Yarrowia lipolytica: one gene and its partner. The protein of the gene in region 2 interacts with the protein of the main gene of each other region in a pairwise test. Links are inferred from orthologs where the notes say so. Each region holds a gene or a part of one and is shown on either strand. Other genes may lie near its edges.

Region 1 (4,543 bases), on a different chromosome or scaffold from region 2:
AGAGATAAGGCACTGGATGCATTGCGTGCATAACTCTTATGCCGTCGGGCTCTCCGGAGGGGAAGAGGAGGTCATGTGGCTTCCAGGAGATGTACAAAGATGCAATTGACTTGCTGGAAGTTTTTTGTGACAATTGGGATCGATAAAGATGTGAAAGAAGCCTCTCTTACCCACAAAAGTCGCCACTAGGTCCCGGATCATCTCTCCTCAAGACAACAGGGTTCTGTCGTCTAACCACGTTGTCGCTTTTTGGGCTTATCGGTGGAACTTTATCTTGGTCCATTGATCCCCTTGGGGCTGGGGGCTGGGGGTAGAGTGCTTACAGTGGATGCGTGTTTGCTTCGTTTATATGGCGATTAAAAAGCGCATGGAGCTCCACAAGACCACTTGAATGGTCACACGCAGCAATCCAAGTTGAATGGTTCCTCAGACACGTGTTTCACCCTCGTACGGACGGATATTGCCACAATACATGAACTGCATTAAGTTCACCGGAGAAGTGATAAGCACTCGGTACATAAAGCAATGTGCCCGCCTGCCTAAAAGACCCACGTTATCTTACTCACGTTTACACCGTAAACCCTCCCCCCAGTTCTTTTCACAATGGTATACACCTCAGAACAAGCAGTATTGCAGACCAAACTGGCGCAGCTTCGCGACCGGAAACTCAACTCGCGGGAAACCCGACAGCTGGTGGCGGAAATCTCAGGCTCGTTTGCGGCCGAAGTCCTGGCCAAGGTCTTCCAGCGAAAAGACCCCGAAGAGAAGGACAGATCCAACACGGTCACCTCGGACCTGGGGCATGCAGTGGTGGTTCCCCAACTCAAACCCACCGATAGTGAGTATGTGATTGCTCCCGTTCTCAGATCCGGACAGGCCATGCTGGATCCCTTTCTGGCCCAGCTGCCCGCCCAAGACGACCCTGCAGTCTACCATCTGGGACTGTACCGAGAGGAGTCGACGCTGAGTCCCGTGGAGTACTACAACAAGCTGCCTCCTCCCTTGCCCACGGCCACCACCAAGATCAGCCACGCGTTTGTGCTGGATCCAGTGATTGCTACTGGAGGCACTGCCAAGGCCGTGGTGGAAATTCTCAAGGAGTGGGGCGTGGAACATATTGTCATCGTGTCGCTGATTGCATCCAAACAGGGCATTGAGAAGCTTTCGAAGCTCGAGGGCGTGGAGGTATACGTGGTCAAGGGAGATGAGGGCCTCACCGATCAGGGCTTCCTGGTTCCTGGAATCGGAGACATTGGAGATCGTCTTTTCGCCACAAAGAAGGTCAAATATTAGACGAATCGTCTTATATCAATCTCTCCCTACTGTACAGTAGCGAGTCGAATGTCTTCTGGATGTCTTCTAATTCCTGTTCAGACACAGACCAACTGACAAAGCTGTGACAAGCCTCCCACAGTGGTCACAGTGGTACGCACTGTGATTGATGGCCTGCACACATTGCACGCATCTAATGTGATGTAGTTTTATGTTCAATTTATACACTGATATTCAAAGTACATACTGATATGTGCGATACATGTACGAGTACATGGATTGTGTGGAATCTGTGTGATAGGTGCGTATTCAACACACGATACTGATACATATTACCTCATACTCATACTCCCACAACCCTCCTTACGTTTACAGTATACTCGCGGTTGCGAGGAGGGACCAAATGGTAGATAGACGATGGATACGTTATATAGTCACGTGATGCGTATTGTTTGCCGCTTGTGTTTACACTGAAACACAATGGGAAACACATCCGTTGCTCCATGTAGTCACACCACCTATAACCGTCCGTGTGGGGATATCCGGGTCACTGACGTAGGCTAATGCCTCATCACCGAGTCTCATATACGCTAACGGCGTGTCTTACCACTTCGGGATGTGGATAAAAAAGAGTACAGTAAAATTGAGTATTATCACAGCGAAGAGTGACACTTTTTTGCTTGAATCGATTCACAAAAGCAAACGATTTGTACTGGAGCGTTTCCATCTTTTCATCCAGCCTCCATTAGTCACAGTCGGTTCGTATATCCGTTTCGTTTCCATGGTGGGGGGTGCTAAATGGAACCTTATACGCTCCAGATGCTAATGTGAGGAAGTGTTTATCTGGCGATGATGATGTGGTGGCTGGAAGATATCGTGAATATCAAATGATCTGACTAGGAGCAATTATATTATATGTTAAAACTCCAAATATTCCGCCTACAATACCGTCCACACCCCCTCTCAAATTTACCCGCAGTAGATCAGAGTTTGGGAGATAAGAGTCAGGATAATTTTGTGGTAAGAATATGTAGGGTAGAAATATAGCGTATATACCGTGCGCTTTACCGTCTCCAACCCCACCTCTCTTCTTCCCACCGCATACACACACATCCACACAACCATGACCAAGACTCAGACCGTTGGTGTGCTTGCTCTTCAGGGAGCTTTCGCCGAGCACTGTCGACATCTCGAAAAGGCCGCTGCCAAGCTCCACAAGGATGTTGAGGTTATCGAGGTCCGAACCCCCACCGAGCTGGAGAAGTGCGAGGGTCTGGTGATTCCCGGAGGCGAGTCCACCGCCATTTCTCTGGTGGCCCAGCGATCCGCCGGTATGCTGGATGCTCTGCGAAAGTTTGTCACTGTGGACAAGAAACCCACCTGGGGCACCTGTGCTGGTCTGATTCTCATCTCCTCCGGTATCTACGACCACAAGACCGAGAAGCAGACTCTGGCCGGCACCCCCGAGATTGACGCACACGGAAACAAGGTCGCTGACCAGACCGTTTCTGCTCTCTTTGGAGGCCTGGACGTGGTGGTGTCTCGAAACTACTTTGGCCGACAGCTGGGCTCCTTCATCGCCCCTCTCAAGCTTAGCAACTTTGGAGTCTCCTCTACAATCACCGACAAGGAGGCTGTTTTCGACGCCGTTTTCATCCGAGCTCCTGTAGTTTTCAAGACTCTCAACGACGACGTCAAGGTTCTGGCTGAGGTTGAGGATCCCTCTGATCCCACCAAGAAGCTCATTGTGGCTGTCGAGCAGGGCCACATGATGGGCACCTCTTTCCACCCCGAGCTCAGTGACGACACTCGAATTCACGAGATCTGGCTCAGCAAGTTTTTGTAAGAAGCTGAAGAAAAGAGCAAGATGGACTACGATAGGGAGCATGATAGATAGGAAATGACTTGTATAGTATGGGATGGGATTATCAGCTGTATGCGGTAAGTAGTGTGAGCTGTAGAGCAGAGTGATATGGTATACCCCAAAAGTTGCACTTCACGTCTTATCAGATGCTTGCATGGTCTGCTGCCCTATCAAGGGTGTTCATTCGGATAGAGCCATATAGTTCTTACGAGAGCGTAGATGAATGGCGCCTGGAGAGTATCTATTTAATAAGCAGATTACAGATACGTACGGCTGCGTCCATCATCGTACTGTACTGACCCTAACCAGCCCTTTACGCCAGCTACACAGTTACCTCCAGCTCATCCAATACTTTGTACATGGATCTTGCGTGATATGAATATGTACTAGTAGCCACCGGTATCGTACTTCAGGTACACCGATATTGAACCAGCAGCGAGCTCAAGATCCAGAAGCATATTTCTAGATCAAATATATCGAAGCAAATTGTTCGACACACAACATTCTACCTCCGTTCCAAGTCACGTCGTTAGAACACACATCATTAATTCAGCCGTAATATCCTTCCAACAACTACAAACTACAAACACCCTTGAGATCCCAACTACAGTCTACAATTATACCTGCTACTGAATAAATACATGTTATTGTAGATAAGTTACCACCTGACATCAATAATACATGTGCAATTTTTTATACCAAGTTTTGGGGTCAACAAGCTTAAGCGGCAATGGTGACCTCAACATCCACACCAGGCTCGATGTTGATAGAGGTGATCTTCTTGACAACCTCAGCAGGGGAGTGGAGATCGATGAGTCGCTTGTGGATTCGCATCTCAAAGTGATCCCAGGTCTTGGAACCCTCACCGTTAGGGGTCTTTCGGGTGGTGATGTTAAGAACCTTGGTGGGGAGTCGGACGGGGCCCTTGACGCCAACGTTGGAGTTCTTAGCTCGAGAGATGATGTCAGCGGAGACTGTGTTAGTATTTCATCGTTTGGAGAGAGGTTCCCGGTCCTGGAACTGTCGTCATTTCCAGTTACGTAATTGGGTATCTTAAGTGCTGCCATTCTCATATCTCGTCGCGCCCATTTTCACTCACCGTTCTCAAGAGACTTCATCTTGGTGGAAGTCAGAGTGATTCTGATCTTTCGGAGCTGCTGGGGAGCTTCAGCGTCGGCCTTATCCTTGTTGAATGACATTTTGGCGTGTATCGTCGTGGGATGAGAGTCTCGTAGTCAAACACTTCAAAATCAAAATTCACACTGAGTGGGAGGTTTGAAATCTGCAAGGTTCAGATGTGACTGTTTTTTCCCCCAAAGTGGGATAAGTCATGTGACCACTCAACTTTATTCGACTCTAGGAACCGGAGGACACTACAGTACAGTTGGGAGTAGTCTACGGGCGCGC
Region 2 (4,513 bases):
TCGTAGAGCACAGGTATGATTTGTCACATGATAACACCCCCACCAAACCTCCCCCCTCCCACTACCCAGCAACGCCCACCTCACATCAGATCTGCATGTGACATGGCGAGATTTATACAAAAGCTTATTACATATGCGATCAACTCCCACTCTCAAGTGTCAGAACTACACTTCAATTGTCAAGGCATACAATGAAACTCGCTCGCTCAACTCCAAGAATTCTCAGAGGCATCAGGCCTCAAAGCATGGTCTTTGCTCGGCAGGTTGCTACCTCTACAGTACGCAAGTCTTCCAACCCGCAACTCGCATTTCCGTGCCTGGATCACCTAGAGTCAAAACAACAACGCATCACACAATCCTTTGAATCTGGTCCGGAACCCAGTTACGGCGTCAATGAGGGCTACAAGACATACCACAGTGATAAGCCTCTGTATCTCGACTATGGAGGAGTGCTTCCGGAGTTTGATATTGGCTACGAAACGTGGGGAGAGCTCAACGAAGACAAGTCCAACGGTATCTTGATCCACACGGGTCTGTCGGCCAGCTCACACGCCAAATCGCACCCCGACAACCCCAAACCGGGATGGTGGGAAAAGTTCATTGGTCCGGGACTTTCCATTGACACAGATAAGTACTTTGTGGTGTGCACAAATGTTCTGGGCGGATGTTACGGATCCACTGGTCCATCCAGTATCGATCCTGCCAGTGGCAAGCGATACGCAACCTCGTTTCCTATTGTGTCTATCAATGATATGGTCCGAGGTCAGAACCGATTGATCCGATCACTCGGTATCAAAAAGCTACATGCTTCTGTAGGCAGCTCCATGGGCGGTATGCAGTCCCTCGCGTATGCCAACGACTTTTCTGCCGAGGTGGACAGGGTGGTATCTGTTTCTGGATGTGCTCGATCCCATCCCTACTCGATTGCCATGCGACATGTTCAGCGTCAGATTCTCATGTCCGATGCTAACTGGAAACGAGGCAACTACTACGACAGCGTCCCCCCTCACGTCGGAATGAAGCTGGCTCGAGAGGTCGCCACCATCACATACAGATCAGGTCCCGAATGGGAGCAGCGATTCGGACGAGATCGAGCTGACCCCACCCGAGCACCCGCTTTGTGTCCCGACTTCCTCATTGAGACTTACCTGGATCATGCTGGCGAAAAGTTCTGTCTGGAGTACGACGCCAACTCTCTTCTATACGTTAGCAAGGGTATGGATCTGTTTGATCTCGGTGTTGAGTCCACCAAGCACACCAAGGCTATCCGAGCCAGAACTCGACAACATGAGAATGAAGCGGCACAGTGTCCTCTTCCCGATAAGCTGATTGAGGAGCAGCCGCGATCGGAGGTCAAGACTCCTTCTCGACAGGATCTAGTGGACGGAGTGAAGAATGTGGCCAAGCACAAGGTCTTGGTGATTGGAATTGCTTCCGACATTCTGTTTCCCAGTTGGCAGCAGAAGGAGATTGCTGAAGTTCTGCGAGAATCTGTGAGACAGCAGGGAGGTAACGAATTTGGCATTCATCACATTGAGCTTGGAGAGGACGTTTCCATGTATGGACATGACACCTTCCTTTTGGATGTGGAGAATGTGGGAGGACCCATCAAGCGGTTCCTGGAGCATTAGCATGTGGGTATGTGGGGATATTGGCATGTAAGTAGTGTGACTATAGAACACTCTCAGTATATACATCAACGTTGGGTCAGATAAGATATGATGTCCATTTTGTATGTGAGCAATTGTGTCTAGACTCGAGCAGTTTAGTCAGCTCAAACAGTCATCTACTTGTAGAGGTCATGAGGCTAAAAAAGACTCGGTGCTCAGGTAGCCGTGTCAGTGACACCTACTGTATCGGTATGAGTACATACTCGTACTTGTGAGGATCAAGCGGATGAGCCAAAGAGTCAGTGGATATATTGTAGTCGGGATAAACAGTCGCTACTATAGCACTCGCCATATACATACTACTTGTAGGATACGATAATGAAGCTAATAATGTTACCCTACAAGCAGCTTTTCCGGACTAATGATACTGTACTTGTACCCCACATCTCGGAAGTTGCACACTTAGAATCGTGGCTAATCGGTGTTAGACTCACATCAACTGTTAGTCACTGTGTGGTGTGTGCTATCGTACTTAGCTCCGGTTAGACTCACTCAACGACATCACGTCACATGACCCTACCTACTGCTACCTGCCTACGGCTGACTAAACGCGGCTTCCGAGATGCAGCCAGGTAGACATACTCGTACCGGTACGTATCGTGCTTGTACATGCTCGCTGCTCGCTTCCCGATACGGCCGGAAAACCTAACCTCGTACCACATGTCTAGTGCGTGTCGAATAGCCGCACGATCCCTTGTCAGCGTAACTTTAGCCGCCTTGTTTGGGGAGTGTTGTGTGGTGTGTACACATGTCCAGATTCCAAGGTGCTTGTATGTACACACCCAACACCTAACACCTAACATGATAAGTCGCTAATGCCCCACCTTGACCCCGTGTTTTGACCGTTAGCGGGTTTGTGGGCGGGTGAGTTGGGGGCAGAAGCCCTAGAGTCTCATTCATCCGGCATAACACGGCACTGAACGGTACATGCTGTTTGAGGTTATCTGGTGGCTGCGAATGTAGATGTGTCATAGTGGGGGTCAGGACATGATCTTATCACTTCAACGGAGATAAGAATAACTTTCTCGGCTGGTTGCCCCAGATATCCGCTGCTACTCTCCTTGCTGGGTTAACTAAGTATCCATATGAGTCAGGGCTTGTTCTCAGTAAACTTCGGTTACTGAAATACGCTTTAATGACAGTCCCTGGATGGGGGGAACAATAAGTGCCATTAAACCACTCTATACAAGCCTCAATGGAAAAATTGACACAAAAAATCAATTCACCCACGGCTTCCAATGGATCCTACCTTTTGTTTCCCGGAAATAGCTCGTATTTAGCCCGAAATCAAGTAGCCCCGCTTTGCTGCGGCAAAATGACCCGACTGAAGTTAGAGTTTGAAATTTTCCACCCGAGTCATTTTTTTCCCCTACAAGTATATAGTAGTTCCCCACACCTCTCATCCCACCACACTACCACAACACACACACAACACAATGTCTACCGTCGAGAAGTCTTTTGAGGAGCAGTTCAAGCTGCAGGCCGGTCTGGCCCAGATGCTCAAGGGTGGCGTCATCATGGACGTTGTCAACGCCGAGCAGGCCAAGATTGCCCAGGAGGCCGGAGCCGTGGCCGTTATGGCCCTTGAGAAGATCCCCGCCGACATTCGAGCCGACGGAGGAGTCGCCCGAATGTCCGACCCCGCTATGATCAAGGAGATCATGGCTGCCGTGTCCATCCCCGTTATGGCCAAGTGCCGAATCGGTCACTTTGTCGAGGCCCAGATCATTGAGGAGATTGGTGTCGACTACATTGACGAGTCTGAGGTTCTGACCCCCGCTGACCAGTTCCACCACATCAACAAGCGAGACTTCAAGGTCCCCTTCGTTTGCGGTGCCAAGAACCTGGGTGAGGCTCTCCGACGAATCCACGAGGGAGCTGCCTTCATCCGAACCAAGGGTGAGGCCGGTACTGGTGATGTCACCGAGGCCGTCAAGCACATGCGAACCATCCAGTCCGAGATCAACAAGACCCGACACATGTCTGAGATTGAGCTCTACACCTACGCCAAGGAGATTGGTGCCTCTTTCGATCTGCTCAAGATCACCGCCAAGGAGGGCCGACTCCCCGTCGTCAACTTCGCCGCTGGAGGTGTCGCTACCCCCGCTGATGCCGCTCTGTGCATGCAGCTTGGCTGCGACGGTGTCTTTGTTGGCTCTGGTATCTTCCTCGGCAACAACCCCGCTGAGCGAGCCAAGGCCATTGTCCAGGCCGTGACCCACTACAAGGACCCCAAGGTTCTTGCTGAGGTCTCCTCTAACCTGGGCCCCGCTATGGTCGGCCGAACCGTCGAGTCTCTGCGAGCCCACGACAAGCTCGCTTCTCGAGGATGGTAATTTTCCCTACGAGGTATACGTGCAATGTAAATAATAGATGACTAATGAGTTGACGAGAGAACGGTAGAGTACGATTATGAGAACAAATATAAGAGAGCCAGATGTTTCAGACAAGGCGATTACAGTTTATCGACGCGTCTTAAATCTCCTTATACGTCGGAGATTGTACAAGTAGCGACCTTTCTTTGAGTTACTGGAAGCCTTTCATATGCCGCTATACACATGCATTGTCCTGGGGTTGTTCAGCAACACGTATAACACAGGATTTGTGCTTCCGTTTCGATTGAGCACGTTTATTTGGGTTTAATTCTTCTTGTTACACCCGGTTCGAAGCTATTTAACCATGGCCGTGATCGACTGCTGTCTCACTCCTTATTTCTATTCCCTCGTTTTACGGTACATTGTGCAACGTGCAACGTGTGGATCATGAGTTAAATTTTGATGCTGTTGGAAATCAACCATAATTAAACTACATTTAGGAAAGTCGAACCCAGGCCATCACGCCAA

The links. The genes of interacting proteins can lie anywhere in the genome.
Region 1: the proteins of YALI1_C33299g (region 2) and YALI1_E24461g interact in a two-hybrid assay, tested with the Schizosaccharomyces pombe proteins (2 studies listed by BioGRID). The link is inferred for Yarrowia lipolytica from reciprocal best matches to the Schizosaccharomyces pombe genes snz1 and sno1.

What each region holds. Positions count from the first base shown.
Region 1 is NC_090774.1:2,444,015-2,448,557, reverse strand, and holds YALI1_E24461g (uncharacterized protein), read left to right. Parts: upstream 1-2,395; coding exon 2,396-3,118; downstream 3,119-4,543. Other genes in the region: YALI1_E24479g (uncharacterized protein), read left to right, coding at 604-1,293; YALI1_E24451g (uncharacterized protein), read left to right, coding at 3,283-3,423, 3,467-3,526; YALI1_E24442g (40S ribosomal protein uS10), read right to left, coding at 3,857-4,110, 4,236-4,335.
Region 2 is NC_090772.1:3,326,854-3,331,366, forward strand, and holds YALI1_C33299g (uncharacterized protein), read left to right. Parts: upstream 1-3,106; coding exon 3,107-4,006; downstream 4,007-4,513. Other genes in the region: YALI1_C33270g (uncharacterized protein), read left to right, coding at 192-1,631.